Linked DNA regions of Macaca mulatta. The protein of the gene in region 3 interacts with the protein of the main gene of each other region in a biochemical or structural test. Links are inferred from orthologs where the notes say so. Each region holds a gene or a part of one and is shown on either strand. Other genes may lie near its edges.

The links.
Region 1: the proteins of HIF1A (region 3) and RACK1 form a complex in vitro, tested with the Homo sapiens proteins (2 studies listed by BioGRID). The link is inferred for Macaca mulatta from reciprocal best matches to the Homo sapiens genes HIF1A and RACK1.
Region 2: the proteins of HIF1A (region 3) and NAA10 form a complex in vitro, tested with the Homo sapiens proteins (4 studies listed by BioGRID and IntAct, with this or other methods). The link is inferred for Macaca mulatta from reciprocal best matches to the Homo sapiens genes HIF1A and NAA10.
Region 4: the proteins of HIF1A (region 3) and EGLN2 form a complex in vitro, tested with the Homo sapiens proteins (3 studies listed by BioGRID, with this or other methods). The link is inferred for Macaca mulatta from reciprocal best matches to the Homo sapiens genes HIF1A and EGLN2.
Region 5: of the proteins of HIF1A (region 3) and USP20, one has a biochemical effect on the other in vitro, tested with the Homo sapiens proteins (2 studies listed by BioGRID and IntAct, with this or other methods). The link is inferred for Macaca mulatta from reciprocal best matches to the Homo sapiens genes HIF1A and USP20.

Annotation. Positions count from the first base shown.
Region 1 is NC_133411.1:190,284,057-190,290,248, reverse strand, and holds the start of RACK1 (small ribosomal subunit protein RACK1), read left to right. Parts: upstream 1-2,621; 5' UTR 2,622-2,725; coding exon 2,726-2,834; intron 2,835-3,121; exon of another isoform or gene 3,122-3,189; intron 3,190-4,166; coding exon 4,167-4,338; intron 4,339-4,620; exon of another isoform or gene 4,621-4,699; intron 4,700-4,814; coding exon 4,815-4,962; intron 4,963-6,192. UniProt on the Homo sapiens protein: Scaffolding protein involved in the recruitment, assembly and/or regulation of a variety of signaling molecules. Interacts with a wide variety of proteins and plays a role in many cellular processes.
Region 2 is NC_133426.1:160,174,711-160,179,555, forward strand, and holds the end of NAA10 (N-alpha-acetyltransferase 10), read right to left. Parts: intron 4,121-4,845; coding exon 4,048-4,120; intron 4,001-4,047; coding exon 3,852-4,000; intron 3,652-3,851; coding exon 3,607-3,651; intron 2,359-3,606; coding exon 2,274-2,358; intron 1,734-2,273; coding exon 1,497-1,733; 3' UTR 1,431-1,496; downstream 1-1,430. UniProt on the Homo sapiens protein: Catalytic subunit of N-terminal acetyltransferase complexes which display alpha (N-terminal) acetyltransferase activity. Acetylates amino termini that are devoid of initiator methionine.
Region 3 is NC_133412.1:134,832,317-134,838,005, reverse strand, and holds part of HIF1A (hypoxia-inducible factor 1-alpha), read right to left. Parts: intron 1,374-5,689; coding exon 1,261-1,373; intron 619-1,260; coding exon 416-618; intron 1-415.
Region 4 is NC_133424.1:51,918,753-51,924,974, reverse strand, and holds the start of EGLN2 (egl nine homolog 2), read right to left. Parts: upstream 3,439-6,222; 5' UTR 3,371-3,438; coding exon 2,534-3,370; intron 1-2,533. UniProt on the Homo sapiens protein: Prolyl hydroxylase that mediates hydroxylation of proline residues in target proteins, such as ATF4, IKBKB, CEP192 and HIF1A. Target proteins are preferentially recognized via a LXXLAP motif.
Region 5 is NC_133420.1:17,731,232-17,736,920, reverse strand, and holds part of USP20 (ubiquitin carboxyl-terminal hydrolase 20), read left to right. Parts: coding exon 1-18; intron 19-479; coding exon 480-588; intron 589-2,553; coding exon 2,554-2,656; intron 2,657-3,161; exon of another isoform or gene 3,162-3,718; coding exon 3,719-3,790; exon of another isoform or gene 3,791-4,013; intron 4,014-4,132; exon of another isoform or gene 4,133-4,439; coding exon 4,440-4,600; 3' UTR 4,601-4,616; exon of another isoform or gene 4,617-5,043; 3' UTR 5,044-5,689.

The DNA.
Region 1 (6,192 bases), on a different chromosome or scaffold from region 3:
AGGAGCCCGGAGCATTCCCGAGGTCTCGGCCCAGGTCTCGCGAGGCAGGGAAAGGGGGCAGCCCCGGGGCGGAGCGGGAAAGGGGGCGGGGCAGGGTGGGGTTGGGCGTGGCAACCGCCCGCTTCCGGGAGAGGGACCCGCGGCGCGGGAAGGTCTTTTCCTTGGGCGTGGGTCGGGGACCTGCAGCGAGGTTCGTGTTAAACCTGGACTCCCTGTGGAACGTTCAAGAAAAAGAGAACCGAATGAGGTTTCTCGAAAGGAAAAAAGAATGTGACAGTGTAATCTAGTGCTACTCCTCGGCGTTTTAGGGCCCCAACCCGGGAACCCCTCGCACCGCGAATCTCACTCAGTCCACAGCGGGAGGCGGGTGTGGTCGTTGACCTATTTGCGCCCGAGGGCTCAGGGAGGCGCTGGCGTGACCCGAGTCGGGGGCAGCAAGCTGGTTAGCGGGTGGGTGAAGGCAGGGGTCTTCCACGACCACCACAGAAACAAAACACCTGGGTCGGGATTGCGTCTTGTATTGGAAAAGCGAAAGAACAGTCAGCTGGGGGTGCCAAGAAGGCAGGTGATGTACAAACCTGGAGCCTTAGGATGGTCCACAGGCTGCGGAGGAGCACAGCCAGGACAGCGTTCCGCGGGGCCCGACAGAGACTGCGGCGGAAGGCAGGGGAATCTGCCATGGACCAGTTGAGCAAGCTGTTTCAGGGAGGGATCCAGGCCTCTGCACACCTGGGCGTGTACAGCCTGCGGCAGCTCTGCCACCGTTCCTCGCCTGTCTTCTGCCTTTACGCAGGCTTTCTAGCAGACATTGCCAAGGTTCTTCTCCAGGCCTTCAAGGCCGTAGGTTAACTGCGCCCTCCATTTCACTGCTCTGTCCTCAGCCCCTCCACACTCCAGCTCAGTACGTTGGCACTAACTCTTCCCTCCGATTGAAACATTCTTCCCCTACACGACGTCCCTCCACGGAACATTATTCTCCCATATACCCACAGTGCGCTCTCCGTGTATCTGCTCCAATGTTCTCCCCTCTTCGCATACCGCCGGAAGTAAGCTGCAAATAAACCAGAGTCCCCCGTCTGTCTTGTTCACAGCTTTGTCCCCAAAACCTAAAATAAGGCTTGGTACCCAAGAGGTGCTCACTAAGTTTCACAACATTTACTCTGCCAGACGTTGTTCAGGGCGCTTAATTTGCTTCTTTACTTTCCACACCATGTAATGTAGATACTAATGTTATTTCCAATCTCATTTCACAGATGAGAAACAAAAGTTGATAGATGTCACAAATAGAAATGTGACATCTTTATTTTGCATAGATGTTGGTGGCTGCTATCATCCTGATATGTCCTCCTGTTTAAAACTACTTGAAGAGACACGGTGCCCAATACTCTTATAGTCAGATGTGAGAGAATGAGAGTCATTACTTGTTTAAATTCCTGAGGTAGAGTGGAAGGCAGAAGGACAGCTAGGTATCCGTGTTCCACCGCTTCCCTGTCTGGGCACGTCCTTCAGGGTGCAACTGGACCCCCAGACGCCTGGGCTTTTGTGTGCAGTGACTGGGCCCAGAGAGAGCTTTCCAGTGGATGTCCCCAGAAGTCAGAACTTTAAGGTCCTCCTTTGGGCGTTTCCGTTTCTGCGAGAGCTTCCCGTGTTCTGACCTAGGCAGGAATGGATTGGCAGTCTAGCAACACACAGGGCAATTTTCACCTTATTATTTTATTGTATGTATGTATGTATTTATTTGAGTCGGAGTCTCGCTCTACTGCCCAGGCTGGAGTGCAGTGGCGGGATCTCGATTCACTGCAACTTCTGCCTCCCAGGTTCAAGGGATTCTCCTGCCTCAGCCTCCCGAGTAGCTGGGATTACAGGCACCCGCCACCACACCTGGCTAATTTTACTTATTTATTTATTTATTTATTTATTTATTGGAAAGAGGTTGCATCATGTTGGCCAGGCTAGTCTCGAACTCCTGACCTCAAGTGATCCACCCCCTCGGCCTCCCAAAGTGGAATGATTACAGGCACGAGCCACTGCGCCCGGCAAAAAGAGACCAATTTTTAGTACATCCAGAGTAACCCTCTCCTGCCTTAGTCCAGCCTGGACTAAGTCCTTCCGGAGTTGGTGTGCATCAGAACAAAAACCTCTTGAGGGAGGACGGTCCCGCGGAAGCACAGTTTTAAAGTTTATTTTTAAAATTTTAATGCCATACTTTTTTAAATTGCCCATCGTTACCCACGATAGTGAACTGAAAATTAAGCTCTCCTGTGGTTGCCCCGTCAACCCTCCCCGCACCAAGTGGAACAGGCGGAGCTCGAGCTACGCCACATAGGGGCGGGGAAGCCGCCAGGGAGTCCTCATGGGAATGTGCCGTACACTTCACCTCTTTCGCTTCTCGCTCTACATCATCCCTGAGAAGCCTTTTTAAACACTTGAATGTGCTTGTTTCAGAATGTATTTATAAAGCGCTGTCAGATTATGTTGTACGGAAGTGGGGACTGTGATGCCGTGCAATTTCCCTTTGCCTTTTGCATTACATGGCGCCGCCATCTTGAGCAGAAGTGTATCATGGGGCTCGCCATTTTACTTGGTCGAGTGGGTATTTCCGGTTCCGGCAGAGGGCTTCTCTCTTTCACTGCAAGGCGGCGGCGGTAGCGGCTGTGTTGCTCGTTTCTCTGAGCCATCCAGTGCCATCCTCGTCGCTGCAGCGACACACGCGCTCGCCGCCGCCATGACTGAGCAGATGACCCTTCGTGGCACCCTCAAGGGCCACAACGGCTGGGTAACCCAGATCGCTACTACCCCGCAGTTCCCGGACATGATCCTGTCCGCCTCTCGAGGTACGGACTAAGGTAGATTTCAGGACCCGAGATTGCAGGGCTGGGGGATTCCGCGTGGTTCGGGCAGGCCGGTGGCGCGCGCGCTGCCGGGGACTGACAAACTTCTCTGCCTCACTGTGATTTGGGGCGTGCGGACGCGAGCCTAGGCCTCAGCCCGGGCGAACCACATTGCAGATGAGGACCTAGACGTAGAGCGGCTCGTGGCTGTTAGGGTTGGAGAGTTGGAAACTTTTAAAACATCTTCTGCCTTCCCCTTCGTAGTGTGGTCGGGGGCCTACGGGCCGGGCGGGGCGGTGATGACCCCAACATGCCATCTGAGTGTCGGTGCTGAAATCCAGAGGCTGTTTCTGAGCTGCCGCCCGGCCCAAGGCTCGTGGGGAGGCGGGTGGACTCCAGAGGACCTCGTGGCTCAAGTCTCGTCCTACTTTTTCTGCCCCTGGGTCTCCCCTCCCCGTCCCTATCCCTGTGTGCCTGACTGCGTTTGGACACTTGTTGTGCTTCCCCTTTGCTCCTACACTGTTAAGAATTGTGTGACTCTTGAATCATGTCTGGCTGTTAATCGTAAAATTGTTGAGTGGGACAGGTTTCAGTAAAAGCATCCGATCCTGTAGCGCCTAAAGTGGCTTTTCCAGCATTCATTATAACATTTCTGTCGGCCCTCATGGGAGGCATGGGAGGCCCCAGCTACTCTACAGCCACGAACTGCTGTGCATTCGGTTGCAGAGAAGATACGTGGTGGCTGTTGAGTTCGTCTGAGTTTCAGGAAAGGGTGTCTGTAATTTCTGGCACCTAAATTAAGTTCTCAGGATACAGACCGGGCACGGTGGCTCACGGCTATAATCCCAGCACTTTGGGAGGCAGAGGCGGGCGGATCACCTTAGGTCAGGAGTTCGAAACTAGCCTGGCCAATGGTGAAACCCCATCTCTAGTTTAAAAAAAAAAAAAAAGCCAGGCGTGCTGGGGGTGGCCTGTAATTCCAGCTACTAGGGAGGCTGAGGCAGGAGAATTGCTTGAACACGGGAGGTGGAGGTTGCAGTGAGCCGAGATCATGCCATTGCACTCCAGCCTGGGTGACAGAGTGAGACTCCATCTCAAAAAAAAAAAAAAAAAAGAGTTATCACGGTACAGTTTAGCTCTGCGTGCGTTTTTAGTCTGGAATAGAGCCACTCAGTCCTGGCCTGTAACTGCTCTTGTAGTCTGTTGTTCCATCCCTCCTTAAGCATCCTTAGTTGTTAACCCACTCATGACCTTGACACTTAGTGAATTATCCAGTGTGTTAACAAACTGGCTGCGGGTTCCTCACTGGTTTTTCTTCTGTTTGGCCGCTTTTAGATAAGACCATCATCATGTGGAAACTGACCAGGGATGAGACCAACTATGGAATTCCACAGCGTGCTCTGCGGGGTCACTCCCACTTTGTTAGTGATGTGGTTATCTCCTCAGATGGCCAGTTTGCCCTCTCAGGCTCCTGGGATGGAACCCTGCGCCTCTGGGATCTCACAACGCAAGTAGCTGCTCACTTAGCTCTGGGGCCTTGGGAAAAAATCTGGGCAGAAATGTGGTGGATGCAATTGGCTGGTTTCCCAGGGGAGATCCAGTCCATTTGGGAACTGGAAAGCAGACTGCACCTACAGAAGATGTTTGGCCTCCCTCGCTTTGAATTAGTTACTCAGGATTGCTGAGGAGTGTGGTTGAACATATCTACCAGGTGCGACAGTTTTGAGTAGGCAGCAGTTTGAACATGTTTTACCTTGAAAGCTGAGGTGATTGGCAGGTGGAATTAGAGGGTCCTGGTGATGACAGATGACATTGTCAGCCAATCCCCATGTGGGAGTGAGGACATGTCCTGCAATTCTGAAGGGATTCTTTGTCATATATGTGTGAGTAATGCAATGAGACAGAGACAAGGCCCAGGAATCAGTCTGACCCTTGAATGAGAATGTTTGTTAAGTCTGAGAATGACAAAGTCCTCCCTCTTAGGGGCACCACCACGAGGCGATTTGTGGGCCATACCAAGGATGTGCTGAGTGTGGCCTTCTCCTCTGACAACCGGCAGATTGTCTCTGGATCTCGAGATAAAACCATCAAGCTATGGAATACCCTGGGTGTGTGCAAATACACTGTCCAGGTAAAGTGAGGCCATGGTCAGAGAGCACATCTCCAAGGATCTCTCCCACTCTCTTAACCTTTACTTTTTTTTTTTTTTTTTATTTTGAGACAGTCTCACTCTGTCGCCCAGGCTGAAGTGCAGTGGCGCTGTGTCAGCTTACTGCAACCTCTGCCTCCCAGGCTCAGGTGATTCTGGTGCCTCAGTCTCCACAGTAGCTGGTGCTACAGGTGCGCACCACCAGGGTGGTCTCGAACTGAGCTTAGGCAGTCTGCCCGCCTCAGCCTCCCAAAGTGCTGGGATTACAGGCGTGAGCCACCATGGCCTGCATATCTTTACCCTTTTTTTTTTTTTTTTTTTAAAGACAGTTTTGCTCATTGCCCAGGCTGGGGTGCAATGGCGTGACCGCAGCTGACCACAACCTCCGCCTCCCGAGTTCAAGCAATTCTACCTCAGCTTCCCAAGTAGCTGGGATTACAGGCATGTGCCACCACGCCTGGTTTTGTATTTTTAGTAGAGATGGGGTTTCTCCATGTTGGTCAGGCTGGTCTTGAACTCCCAACGTCAGGTGATCTGCCCGCCTCAGCCTCCCAAAGTGCTGGGATTACGGGCGTGAGCCACCGTGCCCGGCTCTCTGCCTTTTTAAAGTCTTGGCTGGGCTCATGCTCTGGTAGGCCAAGGTGGGAGGATTGCTTGAGGACAGGAGAGCAGCCTGGCCAACACAGTGAGACCCCATCCATAAAAATTTTTATTTATTTTGAGATGGAGTCTCACCCTGTTGCCCAGGCTGGAGTGCAGTGTGCGATCTTGGCCCACTGCAACCTCCGCCTCCCAGGTTCATGCCATTCTCTTGCCTCAGCTTCTCGAGTAGCTGGGACTACAGCATGCCCAGCTAATTTTTTTGTATTTTTAGTGGAGACGAGGATTCACCGTGTTAGCCAGGTGGTCTTGATCTCCTCACCTCGTGATCCGCCCACCTTGGCCTCCTAAAGTGCTGGGGTTACAGGCGTGAGCCACCGCACCTGGCCCTTTTTTGAGATGAAGTTTCACTCGTTCATTGCGCTGGCTGGAGTGCAATGGCACAATCGTGGCTCACTGTAAACTTCGCTTCCTGCGTTTAAGCAATGCTCCTGCCTGAGCCTTCCATGTAGCTGGGATTACAGGCACCCACCACCACACCCGGTGAATTTTTGTGTTTTTGGTAGAGACGGTTTCACCATGTTGGCCAAGCTGATGTCAAACTCCTGACCT
Region 2 (4,845 bases), on a different chromosome or scaffold from region 3:
GCCGGGAACCGGAGAGCTGCGGGCGTGCGCAGACGCGCCTTTCCGGCCCCGGCCCCGCCCTGCCGGTCTCCGGGCTCCGCTTCCACAGCAGCTGGCTGCCTGCTGGTCACGTGCCAGGCGCCAGCCAAAGAGAACCGAGCTCCAGGTCTGTTTGGCGAATTTTCAACCTGGCGGAGGAGCAGTGCCACCTGCAGTAGCAGGGTACACAGAGGGCTCAGGAATACAGGGCCCGCCCAGGGACTAGGAACAGCAAGCGATGGCTTTGCAGCCGGAGGGAAGGGAAGGGAGGAGACACAGGAGAGAGCGTTACGGTTAGGGTGACTCCATGAAAAACAGGATTTTGGTGTGTGTGTATTTATTTATTTATTTATTTAGAGACGGGTCTCTGTCCCTGGAGTGTGGTGGCGTGATCAGGGCTCACAGCAACCTCCACCTCCCGGGCTCAAGGGATCCTCCTGCTTCAGCCTCCCGAGTAGCTGGGATTACAGGCGTGCACCACCACACCTGGTTTTCTATTTTTAGTAGAGATGGGGTTTCGCCATGCTGCCCAGGCTGGTCTCCAACTCCTGAGCTAAAGTGATCCGCCCACCTCGGCCTCCCAAAGTGCTGTGATTACAGGCATGAGCCACCGCACCCAACAGCCACCCAGTTTTGTATTCTGCATGAAATTATTTTGAGGGAATAAATGGCTTTATGTATTTGTGTAACCCCATAGAAACTGTACAACACAGACAGGAAACCTAATGTAAACCATGGGCTATAGTTTACAATAACTTATCAGTATTAGCTCATCAACAATAACAAATACACCAACTAATACAAAATGTCAATAGGGCAAACGGGGGGAATTGTACTAAAAATAAATTATTTTCAAATGCAAACTCAGGGAGTAGACTCAAGAGGTATCATGGACTCACTGACCATTAGGGTGGCAGGGAAGGGAGGACTCAAGGACCGTTGACAGGGCGTCTGGCTGGGTCATTATACTCAGGACAGCTGTAGATAAGCCCAATGAGCAGTCAGATGTCCACATCTGGAGCCCACGGCTATGCCGCAGAGCTGCTGTAGCCCAAAGCAGGTGTGATTAGGGAGAGAAAAGGTCTGAAGGTGAAGATGGGAGGAGAACTGAAGGCTACCAAGAGTGGGAGCCCTGCTGTTGAGCTTTGAGCCTAAGCGGCCCAGGCTTATGCCACAAAACACATTCAGCGTGGCCAAGCAGACCTCCAAGGCAGGGTCTCTCCCTAAGCCCAGGGCCTCCTTCCCGGGGCCACAGCTGCTGAAGGCCATGAGACTGGGGAGTCCCACCTCCAAAGCTCTTCCCTTCTATTCGGACTGGCAGGATGCTCTGGGTCAAAAGGCTGAGGCTCACCTCCCCACCAGAGGACCTGGAGAAACACACCCTCTAAATGTGCACACGCACACACACGAAGTTCCCCAGTGCCACGGAGCGAATTTATTGTGAAAGCTCGTGGGGTGAGGAAGGGATGGGGCAGGCTCTAGGAGGCCGAGTCGGAGGCCTCTGAGCTGTCCTTGACATCTGTGCTCTCTGTGGTCTCGCTGACCTCGCTGAGGTCCTTGCTGTCCCCACCACTATCCTCGGCAGCCAGGCCCTTCTCCTCGCGACAGGCCTCTCCTGAGCTCGGAGGTGAATTGCCTTTGCTCTCCACCTTGTTCTCGATGGCACCCAGCACCACATGCCTGCCCTTCTCCTTCAGCTCCAGGTGCCGCCTCAGCTGCCACCAGGAACCCAGGGAGAAGCAGGAGGTAAAGAGATGGGGCCTAAGTTTCCAGACAAAGGGAGCCTGGCCCTGTCGCTGGCTGAGGAGAGGGGCATAGTGAGGCAGCAGGGCTAGGCAGGACACGTGGGACTGAGTGGGGACACCTGGCTGGAGCCCCAGTCCACTGCTACCTGGGCTCACTGACTACCATGGAGGCCCCCACGACACAGCGTTGCCCCTTGACCAGCCCTGCCACCCAAGGAGCCTGGGGCAGAACCCTGACTCAGAACTACCTCTGAGCAGGCAGGCCACCCACTGGTCCCCAGGCCTCCCCACTTCCCTTCTAAAAGCCTCCTCCCTCTGCCTCTCCCATCACCCTCCAGGCTGCTAGGCAGACGGCCTCCTCTAAAGCCCAACCTAGGAAACTGAGGTTGTGACTCCTGGCAACATAGCCACAAGGGCTGGCATTCAAAGTTGGTCGCACCTCCAGCCACTGTCTCGGGGCTCCCCAATGCCACCCCCGCTTGCCTGGCTTGGCTTCATGCAGGCTCTTACCTCGTCGGCCATCTGAGTGAGGTCTCGCTTCATGGCATAGGCGTCCTCCCCATCTGCATAGTATTTGGGCTCCACTTCACTGATCCTGGGGGCAGAGGGTAGAGAGCAAGGAGGAAGACCCATACCTGGGGGACACCCTCCTCCACTCCTAGTATCATGGCTACTGGAGCAAGATGCCGTGTTTTCTCCCTGAAGGGCTCCTTCCTGAGACAGCAAGTCCAGTGTGACCTGCCCTCTGTTCTCTCCAGCAAAGGCTCCAGGAAACAGCGGCCCGCCCCACCCCTGTCCTGCCCCCGTTCTGTGTCCTTAGCCTGGCTACTAAGGATTCATTTCTGTGGTTTCTTGTGAGCTGAATTCCTGAATTCAGCCTTCCCCTTCCCTCCCTGCCCTGCGTCCTGTCCCTTACTGAGCTGCCTCACAACAGCCATCAGAACCCAGGAAAGACAGTGAGCTCTGTTTAGGGGAGTCATCCCTAGGCAGCACGGGCCCTGCCTGAGCAGCTCAGGGGCCATGCCTGCACTGGGGAGGCATGTGTGCAGACTCGGGTGGCCATGTCCCTGGAAGGGGAGCTGGACTCAATGGCCTAGGCTGGCCCTGCCAGGCCTAAGACATGAGGATTGTTGACTTAGCTATAAAGCAGTTCCCACCAGACATCCTCATCTGGGTCACAGATCCCTCTTGCCAGCATCCAGCCCAGAGGCCACTGCCCTTCCCAACAGTCCCTCCTCTTCACCCCTGCCAAACAGGGGCTGACTGCAGTTAGTGTCCCTCCACGGGCAGCCCACCCCAGCTTCACTTGCAAGCACTTTTTTCCACTGTCTACTGGGCATGCTAACTGCCAGGTCCTCTCTCCTGTGCTAGGCACACGGGGCCTCCCGGTCCTCAGGCAGACCTGCCCCATCCACTAGGTTGCCTGGCCGCCGGTCCTTCCTTCCTGAACGTGCATTCTCCTTGATTCTGCTCTCTCTTGGATTCTTCCAGGTGCTTGGCCATGCTATGATCTGCTCACGCCAGGGACCCACACCTCTTTATTCCCAAACATTACTAAACAGCCCGTGTGCCCTTCACCAGCCTCTGCCAGCATGGGCCAGAGCTCCTCCATCACAACACACACGGAGCACGTTTCAGCAGGCAGGTGCTGTCTCCATGCCGGCTTTTCAACCATCAGCCACCGAGTGAATGTGGAGGCATCCTGGCAGCACTGGGGTCCACAGCGTCCTCCCCACATCCGGCCCACCCCTAGCCTGGAAGGCAACTCAGCCGGTCTCAGGTGCCCTGATGGGCCAGACCTGGGGCCAACCCCAGCCCACGAGAAAACTCGAGATCTACTTACTGAAAGTTGAGGGTGTTGGAATAGAGGTGCAGGGCGGCCCGGTTACTGCAGGGGAACAAGGCACTGCTGAGCTGCACGGACATGGCCAGGGAGGGGTAGCACGTCCAGTGCCTGCCCCTCCTCTTGGTCCCTCCTTCACCCCAATCCCACTTCCTGGATCTTCACCAAAAGCCGAGGTACCCCAGGACCCCCGTCAAGGCAATATCTCTCCCCCTCAATCCCCCTTCCCTCAGCCCGGCTTCCACCTCTTCCTGACATGCAGGGAGACGTATTTGGCATTGAAGTTCTCTATCATGGCTCGAGAGGCCTGGTCCATCAGTTTCTGAGCCAGACCGAGGCGCCGGTGGGAACGCTTCACAGCCTGGTAGGAGAAGAGCAGAGAGCGGGTGAAGGACTGGGACCTTGAGGGCTGCCTCAACTAACCCCCACTTCCACCCCCACCAGAGAGCCTGAGTGAACCTTACATACCAATGAAGTGATATGTCCATGGGGCACATCATCTGGGTCCTCTTCCCTGGAGAGGGACAAAGCAGAGGCTGCAAAGGAGCTCAGTGTAGGCACAGCCACCCCCACCCCCCGCCATCTGTAAAGTGGATATGCAAATTCTAGGCTGGCCCTACAGCCCCCTAAGACCCCAGCTGGGGGAGGGCCAGGAGCCTCTTGGATCAGAGCAGCTGATCCTGCCACCCTCTACTGCCTGAAAACCCCATGCCTGCCAGGTATGGGGCACACGCCTATAGTTCCAGCTACTCGGCAGGCCGGGTCAAGAGGATTGCTTGAGCCCAGGAGTTTGAGACCAGCCTGGACAACACTTTTTTTGTCTCTACAAAAAAAAAAAAATCAAAAAATTAGCTGGGTGTGGTGGCGCATGCCTGTGGTCTCAGCTACTTGGGAGGCAGAGGTGAGAGGATCACTTGAGCCTGGGAAGTTGAGGCTGCAGTGAGCCATGATCATGCCACTGCACTCCAGCCTGGGCAACAGAGCAAGACCCTATCTCAAAAAATAAAAATAAAAAAAGAAATGAGCTGTCAACCCACGCAAAGACAAGGCAGAAGCTTAAATGTGCACTACTAAGTGAACAAAAGCCAGCCTGAAAAGGCTGTATACAGTATGATTCCAACTCTATGACATCCTGGAAAAGGCAAAAACTATGCAGACAGTAAAAAATCAGTGGTTGCCAGGGGTTAAGAGGAAGGGATAAATGCGTGGAACACAGTGAAACTATCCTGTGATAATACA
Region 3 (5,689 bases):
ATTTAGTGGAAAGCACAGTTTAATACTGAGTAATTTTTTTTTTTTTTTTTTTTGAGATGGAGTCTTGCTCTGTCATCCAGGCTGGAGTGTGGTGGTGTGATCTTGGCTCACCGCAACCTCCACCTCCCAGGTTCAAGCGATTCTCCTGCCTAAGCCTCCTGAGTAGTGCCCGCCACCACGCAGTGCTAATTTTTGTATTTTTAGTAGAGATGGGGTTTCACCACATTGGCCAAGCTGGTCTCAAACTCCTGACCTCAGATGATCCATCCCACCGCGGGCCTCAGCCTTCCAAAGTGCTGGGATTACAGGTGTGAGCCACCATGCATGGCCAACACTGAATCTTTGCTACGGTGAATATTCAATAATGCTGTAGACTAATTAAAACTTTCAAATTCACATTTTAGATCTAATTTACCTTTCGTCACAATAAGAAAATTTCATATCCAGGCTGTGTCGACTGAGAAAAGTCTTGCTATCTAGAGGAATTTCAATATTTGATGGGTGAGGAATGGGTTCACAAATCAGCACCAAGCAGGTCATAGGTGGTTTCTTATACCCACACTGAGGTTGGTTACTGTTGGTATCATATACGTGAATATGGCCTGTGCAGTGCAATACCTGTGTATGAAGAAGAAAACAAAGCAGTTAACAAAAATTTTACAATGCTAGGAAAAAGAAAAAAAAAGCAGAGATAAGTTGTTGAGTGTGACATGGCCAGTAAGCTTTGATAAAATTTACTGTCACTAGTGGATTAACCAGGTTTTTGAAAATCAATGAACGTTTTTCCACCACCCATGACCTACTTCCTGCCCAGGGCCTATACATTACTGTTTAAAAAATTCCCCTCATATAAAGTCTAGGCTGCTTTTTCATTCATCTCATCATCCGGGCTGGTTTGATAGTTATTTCTTGCACTGATGACTATGTCTCAACATTGAACAAAGATACAAAACCATGATTAATAGAAAATTAAGCCCTACCAGGATCCAAATATTGTGTGGTTGGCAAAGCCAACTGATTAGGTAAGCCTAGTATACCAGTGCCACAATTCACCTAATTTAAGTTTGTGCCTCAAATTGGCAAATTACTACACGGTTCTGGATTTTAGGAATCATATGCAAATCAGTTGAAGGTATAAATGTTACATAACCAAACACCAAGGAACTGTAAACCTTCCCTCACAATTCTAAAGTTATCTTAATACTGCAATGTCTATGTATAAATAAAGTGTATCATCAATCACAAATAATTTTCACTTACCTTCCATGTTGCAGACTTTATGTTCATAGTTCTTCCTCGGCTAGTTAGGGTACACTTCATTCTGAGAAAAAAGCTTCGCTGTGTGTTTTGTTCTTTACCCTTTTTCACAGGGCCTAATGAAAGCATGAAATAAAGTTTTAAAGCAACTAAATATACAAATTTGTTACAATGAAAGTAGCAAAGTGCCCATCACCTAGATCAACTGAATACCTGTTCAATTAAAAGTCTCAGCATGAACACAGTAATTCATTCCCCTTTTACTCACTCCAGCACACCCAAGAGATCTGACACATACTACTCAGTAGCTCTGATTCCCTGAGTTGACTGAAAGATAATCCGTATTTGGGATAACAGTTAATCATTCAAGCAAGTAAGTTTAGTCAAACTACAGAGAAATATAAAAATGGTATGAGTTTGCTCTTTAACTGTGCTATTGGTACACAAGAATCCCTAAAGAAAGAACTTCAGCAAACTCTTCCTATTCTTTCCTGAATGTGTTAGCTCAATTTCTAATAAGCACTCTATGTATTTACAGAACCTTTAAAATAGCAACTTTCTTTTTAATAACAAATAACATTTTTACATATCTTATTTTTTCCCCTTAATTTATCTAGTAAAGCAGGCAGAAAATTATTTCTACTTTGTTACTATAAGAAAACAACAACAGATCAAATGACTTATCAAAAGTTACAGAAATAGGGCATGGTGGCTCATGCCCGTAATCCCAGCACTTTGGGAGGCTGAGGCAGGAGGATCACTTGAGGTCAGGAGTTCGAGACCAGCCTGGCCAACATGGTGAAACCCTGTCTCTACTAAAAATACAAAAATTAGCTGGGTGTGATGGTGGGTGCCTGTAATCCCAGCTACTCGGGAGACTGAGGCAGTTGAATCACTTGAACCCGGGAGGCGGAGGTTGCAATGAGCTGAGACTGTGCCACTGCACTCCAACCTGGGCGAAAGAGTGAGAATCCATCTCAAAAAAAAAAAAAAAAAAAAAAAACTACAGAAATAAAGTAAAGTCAGAATTAAGTAAAGTCTATTCACTCCTATTTCAAACCTTCTATAACTAAAAATGAGATTATATTTAGGTGACTAAGGAAATAGCATCTTGCTGGGCATGGTGGCTCATGCCTCATGCCTGTAATCCCAGCACTTTGGAGGCTGAGGCAGGAAGATCACTTGAGGCCAGAAGTTTGAGACCATGCTGGCCATCATGGTAAAACCCCATCTCTACTAAAAATATAAATATTAGCTAGGTGTGGTGGTGCACGCTTATAATCCCAGCTACTTGGGAGGTTGAGGCGTGAGAATCACTTGAACCCAGGAGGCAGAGGTTGCAGTGAACTGAGATTGTGCCACTGCACTCCAGCCTGGGTGGCAAAGTGAGACACTGTCTAAAAAAAAAAAAAAAAAAAAAAAAAAAAGGAAATAGCCTCTTGATTTCTTATCTTCATTGGTCAATGTACTTCAAAACACATATAAAAATATTTATTATTTAGAACCTGGACTAGAGATTGCAGGCAATACAAAGATGAGTAAGACACACCACCTTTCCTGAAGAAGTTAAAAATGTAGTAGATATAGTAAGGTCAACAAAAACACAATGTAGAGTTGGTACTTGAGACTTATAAAAATGCTTTAAGGGAGGATAGGGAGAGCTTAGAGGAATAACTTCTAGTCAAGGGGAATCAAGAAGTCCTGCTTAGAAAAAGAGACATTAGAATGTCAGTAAGTAGAGATGGGTTAGAAGGTTCCAGGGAGAAGGAAGAGAATGAAAAGCACAGAGGTAGGAAAAATAGGACATGTTTGAAAAACTGCATATAGTAGTTTGTCCACAATGTAAAGTACACATAGAAGAGTAGGAAGGCAAAGTCAGAAGGGAACGTTAGGGCTGTACTACGGAGGCCTGTGGATGTCCACATGGAGTCCTGCCTAAATATTCAACAAGGGGCTTTTAAAAAGCACAATCAGTAACTTAAGGAAAATTAACTTAGCAGCAATATATATGTTAGAATTACGTGACTGTAATGAGAGGGCTGAGCCAGTAGCAGTAGTATGAGTGAAAAGAATGGTGGTAAAAGACAAATGAAGAGGTAGATCTTAATAGACTTGAAAACGGATGGAAATAAGACAGGAGAGAAAATCAAATCTAGAAATTGTAATGCTAGTATATTGGAAGAACACTGTCAAGTAGAAAAGAAATGAGAGTAAGTTTAAATGTAGGCATGGTTAGCTAGAAATACTGGACTCTTAAGGAACAAGATGAATTCTAGCCTATACTCATTTAATAATGGAACTAGGCAAGATGGGCAGTCCTGGTACTGATGCATGCCACTTGTGTTTACTTAGATAAGAAGTGAATTTGCCCTCCCTGGAAGGATTCAAGAGTATATTTTTAAAAGATGCCATGAGAGCAAAGGGTGGGGGTGGGAGGCGAGGGGAAGGGAGGGAGTGTGGGAGGGAGAGAGAGAGAGAGAGAGAATGAGTGTGTCGTGTGTGTACGTAGGTGGTGATGGTTGTGGTAGTGGCAGTAAAGATCCACATGCAAAATCCTTTGGGTATGTTCAGTCCTTCATAATCTAAGCTTGAATTATACTGACCTTTGAAAAGAACCCAAGGCCTTTGAATGGGGACCTGCAGATTAATTTAAAAATCAAGGTAACTGAAAAGTACTAGTGTTTTCCTAATGAGGAAAAAAAACACAACAAACCATTAAAAAAAACCCCTAAATTTTAAACTCTCTAAAAATAAGTCTTATTTTGTAATAATTTATAAATTCTAAAGCATTTTTCTAGAATTTATACGGAAGAATAATAGGACTGTTTGTCCTATTATAAACACACCACTGGCTCTCAGTGTATCACTAAAATATGATGCTTTGCAACAGTCCCTAGTTTCTAAAAGAGAAAAATCTGCATTTTAGTTTCCCAATGGAACATCAATAATTCATAACCACATTAGGAATGATTTCAAAATGTTTGTGTGCTTTAAAAAAGAACATTTGGTTCGAAACATACATTTAAACTATATTAAGACTATCTGATTTAGAATAATGCATTAACATCATTACCAAATCAGAACAAGACTTCCTAATATCCATCCATTTATAGTCTAGCCCCAGGGAAGCACTGAGCAGTCAATATAAACCTCAACTCTGCACATTAGAACTCATATATTAAACTCACTGACAGCCCACTTAGGTCCTTGCTCATCGCATATTTACTCCTCCTTTATACAGAATTCTAAAAAGTACGCATTTGTTTTCCAAATTAACAGTAAAAACACAATATGAAATTTAAAAACAGGAGTCAGGTCCCGCTGACAGCGTGAAAAAAGACAGAATGTGAGAATTCAAGAATATGAAAAGCGCTCCAAAGGACTAACGAGCGTGGACTCTGAAGCCAGTCTACTGAAGTTCAGCCCAAGCTCTGCCATTTACTAACCAAATAATGTTGGGAAAGTTACTTAGTAACTCTGTGCCTCAGTTTCCTGGTAAAACAGAAATTGTCTAACAGTTAACTTCACAGGGTTGTTGTGAGGAATAAAGGAGTTAAAAGCATATAAAATAGGAAGAACAGCGTCTTGGCACAGAGCATTCTCTCAATGGAGGTTAGCTATTATTATAATAAATGATATGAAAAAGAAAACCTCAAATATTATACAAAAAATAAATTTGAGGTTGTATAATATAGAAGCAAACAAACGTATGCACTTAAATTGGAGAGCAACAAAGGACAGCAGAACATAAGAAATTTTCCTTGTGGTATCTTTCCATCATGAAGAAAAGTTCAATTATGATCAGTATACACTGCTTAAGGAGGCACAAATGTGGAATGACTTGCTTGAATTGTTTTTGTAATTCAAGAGGTACTTTCCAAAAATCTTAGAACACATGATTTTTTAAATAATTACGATCAGTATACACTGTTTAAGAACACACAAATGTAGAAAGACTTTAATTTTTTAATTCACGAGGTACTTTCCAAAAATCTCGGAACACTTGATTATTTTTAACAATTCATTCGTAAGAATTAGCGGTCTTACTGTCTATTTTTGTTAATATGTGGGCCTCCACAATGTAATACTTATAATCTAACTACACGGTCTTGAATTATTGAGAACATCCAAAGAAGTCAGATAAGCAGTTGTTTGTCTTAAAATTCTGGTGAACTTTTTTTTATTGGGCCTTAGACTCAGACTGGCACCTCAACTTTAATGATTCTCTAAAGTCCTATTATCTGCCATTTGTATTATAATTTCTCCATGCCTTAATGGTGTATTTTAATTTTTAACTCCACCAGGTGTGGTGGCTCATGCCTATAATCCTAGCACTTTGGGAGGCTGAGCCGGGAGGATCACTTGAGTCCAGGAGTTCAAGACCAGCCTGGGCAATACAGCGAGAACCCCCATCTCAATTTTTAAAAAAATG
Region 4 (6,222 bases), on a different chromosome or scaffold from region 3:
CCAGGGCCAGGAGACTAAAGACTTAAAGGCTATTGGTGACAATGGGCCTGCCAAGAGACCCAACACCACTACACACACCCCCCAGTCAGAAGCCTGTGACTGTCCCACCTCCAAGCTGCTCTTCAAGGAGTAAACCAAGCAAGGTGGACCCTCCCTGGGGTCCCCTCTGGTGGCCCTTGCTGCCAGTGGGAGTCAACTCTCTCCCAACTACAGGTCAACCGAGCACCTGTCCCCAGTCAAGGAGTTGGGGGAAGGTAGAACACAGGAGCTCCACTAAGAACGGACTAAGAAGCAGATTCCCACTGGCTCTAGCCCGCCACACTGGTGATCCATGTCCCCACGGCAACTGCTGTGGCCCACCTCAGCACCCCACAGCCTTACCCTGGAGTCCAGCAGAGTCCAGATGGCGCCCTCTAAAAGCAGAAAAGCCTGGAGTTGTTTCTCACTGGGGAGGGGACGGCTGGCTCCTCCCCTATGTTCCCAGTCCAGCCTGGCCTATCCTTACCTCCCTAGGACAATTAGGGTCACCTAAGGCTAAAAAGGTCCAAACACTTCCCCTCTCCAATCCTCGCCGGGGCCCTGTCCCCAACCCCCTGGAAGGTGGGCACCAGAGGCACCAAAAGACAACAGATCCGGCCGGGCACAGTGGCTCACATCTGTAATCCCAGTACTTTGGGAGGCCAAGGTGGGTGGATCACGAGGTCAGGAGATAGAGACCATCCTGGCTAACACGGTGAAACCCTGTCTCTACTAAAAATACAAAAAATTAGCCGGACGAGGTGGCGGGCGGTAGTCCCAGCTACTCGGGAGGCTGAGGCAGGAGAATGGCATGAACCTGGGAGGTGGAGCTTGCAGTGAGCCGAGATCTCGCCACTGCACTCCAGCCTGGACAACAGAGCAAGACTCTGTCTTCAAAAAAAAAAGACAAGAGATCTTCTCCTTCTACTCTCCCCACCCCAAACTGCCACAGACTCGCTGGAGATGTAACCTGGTTTTCCTGTTCCGTGGATCAGCAAATTGAGGCTCAGAGCAGTGTCCCATCTGGGCCACTCAGCCCTTCTGGTCTCCCCCTGACGAGGACAACAGCCAACCTGGTGTGAAGATGCTGAGCCAGGGAGGCCACTGATCCTGCCCGCACGGAGCCAAGCCCAGGGAGGGGCCGGCTCTGGCTCAGCTATCAAGTAACGGGAGGGAGAGGGAAGTAGAACAAGTTCCAGCTGGGGTGGGGAGGAAACAGGCCTTGGCCCCGGGGGAGCCCTGGTCCCTGAGCCAGCTCCAGCCTGAGAGGAAAGCCACACAGAGGCAGAACCCAAGATGGGATCTGCAGGAGGAGGCAGGGGACATCAGGAGCTCAGCCTCATGCCTGCAGGGCACAACACAGCCCGTGCCATCGGCCAGCCAGGCATCGCTGTGTTGAGCAGTGGGCACTCCCCACAGGGCCCTGTCCAAAGGACACCAAGCCCTGTACTCAAGGCCAGGCCCCCACACCACCTATGAAGACAGTGATCCTGTCAGCACGCCGGAAGGGCCCTGTGGACCACTGCCCTGTGCTGGGCTCCTGACCCCAGGTTCCTGAACAGGCAGCTGGAGGCCATGAGGCCTTGATAACTGCCTGGAAACTCCAAGCAAATGAGTATTTGTTTTAAGAGAGAATCTGTGGCCTCTGACAGATTCTCAAAAAGACCCAGACTCCAAAATACAATTAAGAACTACTGTTCTAAAGCAAAAAGAAAAAGAGACTAAGAACAAACACATAAAGGCAGAGAGAAGAGACAAACATGGGAAGGGAGGAAGTGACACACAGGACAGGGGGAATGGATGGCAGGGACTGGGACGGGGAAGGGTGGGAGACATGGGGATGAGAGCTCCACCTGGGTCAGCAGGCAGCGACCCAGTACCAGCCCCAGGAGACTGTCCTCGATGCAGATGCCACAGTAGGGACCCAGGGCACAATGCAGTCCAGGGCCAGGCACTGGGCCTAGCGGGCAGCACCCCTTTCCTTCCCTCAGCCCAGGGCTCACTCATCACACCCTACCCGTTCTGCTTCTCCTGCCTGGGAGACAGATGAACGAACTAGAGACATGGGCCAGCAAACAGGGATGGACAACAGGAGCGCAGGGAAGGATGCGGACAGGGACAGACAGCAACAGAGGACAGACAAGTGAACTGTGTGCCTGTCTACATCACTGCGCTTGGTCCGGGGCCCCAGACAGACACCAGGAGGCCATGAACCCCACCAAGGCCCATGCTGTGAATGTCAGCAACTCTCATGAGTTTCTTCAAGAGAGTTCCTGGCAAAGTCAAGAACCACTGTGGCTCCAGGACAAACTCCTAGCTTACAGGTGCACACATTAAGGCCCACAGGGAGGACAAGGCCCCCCCGAGTCCCCACAAGTGAGCAACCCACTCCACTGAACTGCCTAAACCCAGAAGCCCCCCAGAAGCCTGTCTCCAAACCCACTGTGCTCAGAGCACTGAATGCCAAACCAGGATGCTGCAAAGCCCCGCCAGAGAGGCCCCCACCTGGCCTTACCTTGGTGCGCCCGTTGATGACATAGCTGCCCAGCCGCCCTGCGCAGTGGCGGATGACGGCGTCCACGTGGGCCATGAGGGCACCAATGCTTCGGCAGCCTGCTTCATGGCCTTCCACCCAGGCAATCTGGTCCCCACGGATGCTGCGCGGCGGGATCGCCCGCTGGCTCACTAGCTGCCCGTCTCGCAGGCGCCCACCCCGTTTGAGGGCCTCCACCTCGGCCAGCACGCGGCCGCCCAGCGCTGCCCCCAGGAAGCTGTCCTTGACGCAGATGCCGTAGTACCGCATGCAGGGCACGATATAGTCCAGGGCCAGGCGCTCAGGTGCAGAGGGCAGCGCCTCCTCCATCAGCCCAGCACTGGCCTCACCACTGCCACTGCTGCAGCCGCAGCTCATGCCACCCTCCCGCTCTGCCTCCTGGTTCTCTTGCCTGGCCCAGGGCCGCTTGCTGGGTGAAGGGGCATCCCCACCATCCTCGGCCCATTTCCGTTTGGGGGCCTCAGGCCGGGCGCCCTGGGCTGCCAGTCGCTGGCACCCCTTGGTGACCAGCGCTGCAGCGCCTTCACTCTGCAGCGGCCGCAGCTCACCACCATCCTGCCCGCCAAAACCGTCCCGAAGGGGGCTGGCAGTGGTAGAGGTGGCTGTAGCTCTGGGAGTCCCACTCCCCGCTGAGGCCTCACTAGGCACTCCTGGACAGTGGTAGGAGGGGAGCAGGGGACAGGGCAGGTAACTCTCCACCCCCATCCTGGCCCGGCCAGGCTCCAAGGGCTCTGACGAAGACCCTGGTAACTGAGGGAGAGCCTGACTTAGGGGCTGCGACTGGCACGGGCTGTCCATGGCAGCAGTGTCTTCATCCCCCGGGCATGGAGGGCACCGCCCGGGCCCATGGTGCCACCCTCCTCCGCCTCCTCCTCTGCCTCTTGATGCAGCTGGGGGCCACCAGGCCTGGCGTGGGGCAGGGTGAGGCAGGGCAGACAGCAAGAGCTCTTCTCGTGCCCTGGGGGTTGCTTGCTGGTCCCCAAGTCCTCTGCCGTCCCTAAGGGCTTGGGAAGGGACCCTTCAGGGTGGCTAGAAAAAGGAAAAAGAAAAGGGATGTGAGAGGAGCTAGAGACAGGCAGGCTAGGGAAAGAGGGGATGGCATGGGCAGGAGTGGGGAAGACGACCAGGACAGACTTGACTATAGAGGTCCCCCAAAACCTGGGGCCAAGTCGGGGAGAAGACCCTGAGAATCTGGAGGTGTGAGAGTCCGCTGACAGACAAGGGACAGTGATAGGGAAAGGCTGGAGGCCAGAGGCTGGGTAGACGACCCTAAGACAGAGGACTGTGGTGCGGGTTGTGGGACGCGGTAACCAAAGACAGAGAAAGGAGGGCTGGAGTAGAAAAGGGTGGTGTGGAGGGGTGGGAAGGAGGGAGTTTGGAAAATAGGAGGGATCTGCCTCGGCGTTCCAGAGACAGACAGAGAAATGTGGGGGATTCTGAGAGAATCAGAGTTGGGGGCGGGGGGGTCAAAAGACAGAGGAAACTGGGGAGTCCAAAGACAAAGAGAACGAGGGACCCAGAGACAGAAAAACAGACCGGAGGGAAGCTGGGAGGGAAGCTGGGAGGGAGGGCCCGGGACGGAGCGGGGCGGTAGGGTCGACCCGAGCCCGACGGGAGGAAGCCGGCCGGGGGCGGACACACGCCCAGACGGAAGGGAGGTCCCGAGACTGACCGAAGGGAGGGGCCCTCGGGGAGAGGGTCCGCGGCGGCAGAGGGAAGGACGGAAGAGGGTGCACGCACCCGGAGACAGGACGAGGGAAAAAGGCACCCTCCTCCGGGGCACCCCCACGCCCCCAACCCCGGGCGGGCCCTGAGGCCACTTTGGAGAGCTGTAGCGACAGGGACAAGGCCTAGGGGCCGCTCGGACCCCCTCCCCTCCCCCTCCCCGCGGCCTCCGCCCGGCGCGCGCTCCCCGCCCCCACCCCAACCCCCCCAACGGCCGGCACCCAACGTCCCCGGCGCGCGTCCCCTCCCCCGCGCCGCACCCACATCCCCCTTACCGGGGTCGCCCTGGCAGGCCCCGGCGGGCGCCCCCACACCCCGCCCTGTTCGTGTCGGCGCCCCGGCTCCGACTCAGTCTCCTCCCGCTCCCTTCTCGCCCCGCGACCTCCTCACCAAGCTTTTTCCTCCGGCCCCGGCGCCGCCGTTTGTGCCAGCCGCCCTGCGCCGCACAGCGCGCCATACCCCGCCCCCACCGCGCGCGACGCCCCGCCCCGCCTCGCCCGTTGGGCACGTGACCGCGCCCCAACGGAGGCAACGGCGCCTGCGCAGACCTGAGCCGCGCTGGGCGAGGAAGTTCGGGACAAGCCCCCAGCCAAGGAAAAAGGAAACAGGGCTCCGTGGCCGACACGAGGTTCATTTGCATCATCCTCCGCCCCGCCCCCTTTGCGCGGGAGGGGGATCGCAGTGTGAGGGGCCGGGTCTGGGAGGGGGCGTTTCCTGCATGTTGGAATCAAGTGGCGTTGGCGGGGCGGAGCACGCAAATTATGTGATTTACACGAACAGGCCCACCCCGCGTTCCCCCCCAGCGCGGGCACCGGGTTCGGCAGCGCGGTGCGCGTGACTTCATTTACAGGGTTAGCTCCTCCTCCTCCTCGCAGCCCAGGAACGGGGGTGAGAGATGGATAAATGGCTGCGCAGTTAGTTGGCAAATGTATGTAAATTCGCACGTCAGTAATTTACATAAGTATCTTTTATAACGGAGGAGAAAAAGTGCGGGATGCCCTTGAGAAAAGGGAACGCGGACTAGAAGGGATGTTGTGCCAATGTGTATTTTCAAGACCCGCTCCGCCCTGCCCCCTCGGGACAATCGTGGGAATCAGAATAAAGAACCAGGGAAAGTCTGGGCAACAGAGTGAGACCTTATCTTTACACAAAATTAAAAAATGAAACAAAAAAAATCCACGGAACGCTACAGAGCTGGGAACATTTTGGGGGACGAAGGAATATAAGGTCATTTTGAATGCCCCGCCCCCTCCACCGTAACTCTGGAGAGCTGGGACTCAAGGCTCCCGCGGGGTCGGTAAGGCGGACGCGGAGATGGGAGGGCGACGAGCAACTGGGAGTGTCTTCAGGGGGCTGCACCAGTCCCCAGCAGGCCACCTGAGGGCGTAGGGCGGTTCGGGTGAGCACAAGGACATGCATACTGGTATCTACACATGCGTGAGGATTGCACAAAAACCCACAGTCCTCAGGGCACACACAGGGTTCATGGCCACACAAGGGTGTTTCTTGTTTAGTTTTGTTTTTGAGATGGGGTCTTACCCTTCTGCCCAGGCTGAAGTGCTGTGGCACGATCACAGTTCACTGCAGGCCCAACCTCCCAACTAAAGTGATCCTCACAACTCAGCTTCCGGTGTAGCTGGGACTTCAGGTGTGTACCATGACACCTGGCTAACTTTTTCTGTTTTTTATTTTTGTAGATGGGGTCTCTCTGTGTTGCCCAGGCTAGTCTCCAACTCCTGGGCTCAAGTGATCCATCTGCCTTGGCCTCCCAAAGTGCTGGGATTACAGGCATGAGCCACCACACCTGGCCACACATGGGTGTTTAAAAGGAGCCAAATTCACACCGAAACACACACAGACCTCAGGGGCACACATGCACAGGCACACAAGCGGTAGTGAGTCACTGCCTCTGATTCTCAGGCATC
Region 5 (5,689 bases), on a different chromosome or scaffold from region 3:
GGAGCACCTGTACAACAGGTAAGAGCCCGGGAGGCCAGCTAGTCTCTGTCCCGTCCAGGGCCCAGCTGGGCAGGAAAAGAAGGGAGGACAGGGAAGGAATGCCGCCAGGACCCCTCACCACACGCTGGCCTCCACTCGGCAGCACAGAGCCGCCTTCACTTGTCTCATGGAGAATGACACGTGTCGTTTGTGGGAATCCACTTGGATCCTTCCAGTCACAAGGGACAGGAAACTGGCTGAAGCACAACTGAGTGTGTTGGCTCATCTGGTCCTCAGCCTTGAAACAAGGCCTCTTGGGGACTGTGGGCGTGCTGCTCCCTTGCAGGCTCCATGGTGCTCACACAGAGGCACGTGCAGGCCTGTGACAGCGCTGAGGGGGCACTGATGGCTTGAGGGGGAAGTGGAAGGCAGTGATCACTCTCCCCTCACTGGTGCCCCCCTCAGGCCATGTTTCTCTCTCCCTCCCACCCTGAGCACAGATTCGGGGGTGGCCCCGCCGTCAACCACCTGTACGTGTGCTCCATCTGCCAGGTGGAGATCGAGGCGTTGGCCAAGCGCAGGAGGATCGAGATCGACACCTTCATCAAGGTGCATGTGGCAAGGCAGCACGGGGGCAGCTGTGCCAGCCTCTGCCTGGGGCACTTGGGGACTTGGGGACAGAAGAGCCCTGTGTAGTCCCTGAGCAAGTTTGAAGGAGTCTTTTGAGGCTGGGCACGGTGGTTCACACCTGTAATCCCAGCACTTTGGGAGGCTGAGGCGGACAGATCACTCGAGGTCAGGAGTTTGAGACCAGCCTGGCTAACATGGCGAAACCCCATCTCTACTAAAAATACAAAAATTAGCCGGGCATGGTGGCGGGTGCCTGTAATCCCAGCTACTCGGGAGGCTGAGGCAGGAGAATCGATTGTACCTGGGAGACGGAAGTTTCAGATTGTGCCATTGCACTCCAGCCTGGGCAACAGAGTGAGACTCTGTCTCAAGAAAAAAAAAAAAAAAGAAAGGAAAGGAGTCTTCTGCGGGGGACTAGATGGCGAGGTGTCTAGGAGGACTTTTCCTGGTGAGAGGGTTGGCTTGAGTAAGTGAAGGCTCATCGCCCGGGTGCTGTTGAGCTTAAAGAACCAGTAGATGGATCCCGTTCTCAGCCTTGGCTGTGTTATTTTGGGCTGAATCATTCTTTACTGTGGGGCCATCCTATGCATTGTAGGATGTTTAGCAGCATCCTTGGCCTCTACTCACTAGTGCTAGTGACAACCAAAATGACCTCCAGTCATTCAGACTTCTGTGAAAGAGCTGAGTGCAGGTGAGGCTCCTGGCACACTCCCTCCCTGCCACACTACTTCTAACAGGGTTAGGATGTGCTCCACTCACAGGGAAGGCCCGGCGAGAGACACTGAGGGACGCCCGTGCTTTGTGGCCATTAGGAAGTGATTCTGCTGCCTGGGCACAGTGGCTTATGCCTGTGATCCCAGCACTTTGGGAGGCCGAGGCAGGTGGATCACTTGAGCCCAGGAGTTCAAGACCAACCTGGCCAACATGGCGAAACCCCATCTCTACCAAAAATACAAAAATTACCTGGGCACGGTGGTGTGTACCTGTAGTCCCCGCTACCTGGAGGGCTGAGTGAGGTGGGAGGATCACCTAAGCCTGGGAGGTTGAAGCTGCAGTGAGCTGTGATCGTGCCACTGCACCCCAGCCTGGGCAATAGAGACCCTGTCTCAAAACAAAAACAAAAAAGATACTGTCAGGGCTGGGCATAGTGGTGTGCACTTGTGGTCCAACCTACTCAGGAGGCTGAGGTGGGAGGATCACTTGAGCCCAGGAGGTCAAGGCTGCAGTGAACCATGATTGCGCCGCTGCACTCCCGCCTGGGCACAGAGTGAGACCCCCCCCCATCTCAAAAAAGAAAAGAAAAAAGAAAAAGAAACTGCTCCTGTCAGAAGGAGAGCTGCCTCTCTGAGCAGATAGGCACATTCTATTCAACCGGGGAAAATTAGCATCTGCCAGGCCAGGTGCAGTGGTTCATGCCTGTAATCCCAGCACTTTTGAGAGGCCGATGTGGGTGGATCACCTGAGGTCAGGAGTTCAAGACCAGCCTGGCCAACATAGTGAAACCCCATCTCTACTAAAAATACAAAAGTAGCCAGGTGGTGGCGCGCACCTGTAGTCCTAGCTACTCAAAAGAGGCTGAGGTGGGAGAATCGCTTGAACCTGGGAGGCAGAGGTTACAGTGAGCCGAGATCGTGCCATTGCACTCCAGCCTGGGTGACAGAGTGAGACTCCCTCTCAAAAAGTAGCATCTCCCTTGTGGTCTCAGTTGGGTCAAACAGTTATCGAAGAGACCCACAAAATGTTGCCACTGTCCTCTCTGAGCGATGGGTGTGTTCATTTTGTTTGAGCTTGTCTGGGGGTTCTGATTTTTCACCTTGAGCATCTGGTGTTTTTGTAAGACTCTTGGGTGAGGGCCTGGGGCGGGGGCATTTGGGAAATCCTTGCTGAAGGTAAATAGAGGCTGACCTGCCCTCTGTCCCCTCCCGTCCTTGCCCACCTGCCCAGCTGAACAAGGCCTTCCAGGCCGAGGAGTCGCCGGGCGTCATCTACTGCATCAGCATGCAGTGGTTCCGGGAGTGGGAGGCGTTCGTCAAGGGGAAGGACAACGGTGAGCTGAGGGGGGCCTGGCACTTACCTGCCCCGGGGGCCTCCTGGGAGATGGGATGCTGGCAGGGGAGGGCTGGCACACGGGGGCTCCTGCAGGCCCCGTACCTTCCCCCAGGTGCCACCCATCCAGGGTGGACAGAGAGCATGGGGCTCTGCCAGTCCCCAGTGGGGATCGCTGTCCCCACCCAGAGGCAGGAAGCTGCTTCTGCTCTGCGCCCCTCCCCTTCTCCACTCCCTGCCGTGCCCAGCAAGCTGCTCTGCCCTCCTGCAAGGCCCTTTCCTCAGGGGAGCGTGTTGCCCGAAATGACAGATTTGTCATCCAACTCGTTGGATCTACAGAGATGGAGACAGGCCCCATCACAAGGATGCTCCCAGGGCCCCCCAGACCCCCAGTGAGGAACAGCAGAGCCAGCCATGAGTTGCCTGTGGCTTTGGGGCCCGGCAGGGTGGGCAGAGCCCATGGTCCTGCTCACGGGACCCTTTGTGTGGAGCACAAGCACCCACCTGTGCTCGGGAAGGAAGGCCCCACTGCCATCCCGCTGCTCAGGGAAGGTGCCAGGGCCACCCTGAGGCACCTCTGGTGGTGGCTGAGGCCTTCAGCGTGGCTGTGGTTGAGAACGTAGCTCCGGAACCCCCACCCTGGCCTGGACGGTGGCCTTGCCTTCTACCAGCTGTGACCTGAGTGGTTACTTCACCTGCCCAGGCCTCGGCTCTGTCTCTGTAAACCTCTGTCTTGTCCTGTGGCTGCTGAGGCTAAATGAGACAGCTGGGCAGAGGGGAAGGGGCGTGGTGAGTGGCAGCTGCCAGCAGAGATGAGGGCATGGGCCGCCCACCGCAGTTCCCGCGGCCAGCACAGAGTCTGAGACGATCTCGTGCATCCTGGAAATTCCCTCTGCTGGGTCCTCAGACTGCCGCAGAGGAGCATTGGGTGGCCCAGGCACCTCCTTTAGAGACTTCTCGCTGACCCCCAGGCCTGGGGTGGCCTCACTTGGGATGGCTCTGCTGCTGCGGAGGGTGGAGGGCGTGGCAGGGGCTGAACCCGAGCCTGCTGTGTCTGTTCCAGAGCCCCCCGGGCCCATTGACAACAGCAGGATTGCACAGGTCAAAGGAAGCGGCCACGTCCAGCTGAAGCAGGGTGAGTTCCCCCGGCGTCAGCCAGGCTCCTCTCTGCGCTTCCTGGCTGCCAGGCTGCTGCCCAGCCCCGTCCTTCCAGGAGCCCCCTTCCCACCTGTCTTAGAGTCAGGCTGAGATGTCCACCTGAGTCCAGGCCCAGGCGGCTGAGAGATGGCGCAAGGGGCTTGGTCTCTGCTTGTGTCCTCCGGGTCCCACCCCTCCGCCTGCTGCTGGCCTGGCCCACCCTGCTGTCTGCTTGTGTCCCCCAGGTCCCACCCCTCTGCCTGCTGCTGGCCTGGCCCACCCTGCTGTCTGCTTGTGTCCCCCGGGTCCCACCCCTCTGCCTGCTGCTGGCCTGGCCCACCCTGCTGTCTGCTTGTGTCCCCCGGGTCCCACCCCTCCGCCTGCTGCTGGCCTGGCCCACCCTGCTGTTTATGTCAGCGCCACTCCCAGAAACGAGGGACACAGCCAGAAATAACACATCTCCGGGGCCCTTAGCAGGACGGACGTTCCTCTGGGAAATCCTGGTTTCCATCTGACGGCTTTGCATAGATGCCCTGGTTGCCGTCCTCCCCCTTTGGGGTCTGGCCCTGCGGAGCCCCCACTGCCCAGGCCAGTGGCTTCCTTGAGGCGGCAAAGGTGAGCCCAGGGATGCCTCTCGTGCCCTGCAGGAGCTGACTACGGGCAGATTTCAGAGGAGACCTGGAACTACCTGAACAGCCTGTACGGAGGCGGCCCCGAGATCGCCATCCGCCAGAGCGTGGTGCAGCCGCCGGGCCCGGAGAGCCTGCACGGGGAGCAGAAGATCGAAGCCGAGACCCGGGCAGTGTGATTTGCTGGGCTAGTCTGTAAGTGGCCCTGGCCGGTCCCTCCACGGCACTCTGGGTCCTCTCCTCCCTCTCCAGAGACCCTCACGTGTCCCTTTGAGCATCCAAAGGGCAGGTCCCTGAAGGCGCCTTCCTGGAGGCTGTAGGGAGGCCCTGGACGTGCCCAGCCCCACTGCTGAGTGCCCGTGTCCCCACAGCCCTGTGTGCCCCACCCCGCGGAAGGCGTGTTTGTGCCCAGAAGAGAGGCCGGGCCACTGCAGAACCCCGCTGTGTAAAGAGGCAGAAAAGTTGGTTTGGTTCGCAGTGAGTAACGCTGCAACTGGAAAACGTGCACTTCAGGCTTGTTTAAACGACCAAGACTCTGTGACGTTAATTTGGGTTTTTGTCCTGGCAGTGCTCCTGCCAGTCACTGTCATCATTGTGTCCCCCACAACTGTCCTCTTACTAGCTCGGCCCAGCTTTGTTCCTGGAGCCCGATGCTGCCCCCCTCAGGCAGAGGATGCATCTGGGGCCAGAGTCAGGGAGTAGCTGCTGCTTCACAGCGTTGCCACCGTTTCTGCCGCCACCGTTTCTGCCATGAGATTGGCCCTGATCCCCAAAGATTGGAGGGAGCTGCTCCGGACTGGTGAGCGCAGCCAGAAGCCCTGGCCAGTGAGGAGCTCACAGGTCCTCCCTGATGGTCCCGCCGCACCCCTGCATCTCCTGGGCGTCACCAGGAAGGCTCTGAAGTCCCAGGCTGCTTTCAGCACTTTTCCTGCAGACTGGAGACTCTGGACTCATTGCTGATTGGAATGCCAGGAGGAGGGTGGATTTCTGCCAGTGGGGGACATTTCTGGAGGCAGCTGGTCCCCCACACCGCATCCTGCTGAGCCTGCCCCTGGATTGGCTGTACTTTGCCTGGAAGTTCAGCAGTTCATCTTCATGGGAAATTTGCTGAGCCCCCACCAGGGAACCGGATGATGAAACAGGGATACCTCACAGCGCTGCCATTTGCTGCAAAGGCAGCTTCCCGGGCCGACGCTAGAGAAGACAGACTTCCCCTTCCTCCCAGCGCCAGCAGTGCAGAGCCCACCTGGAAGCGTGTGGGGGGCGTG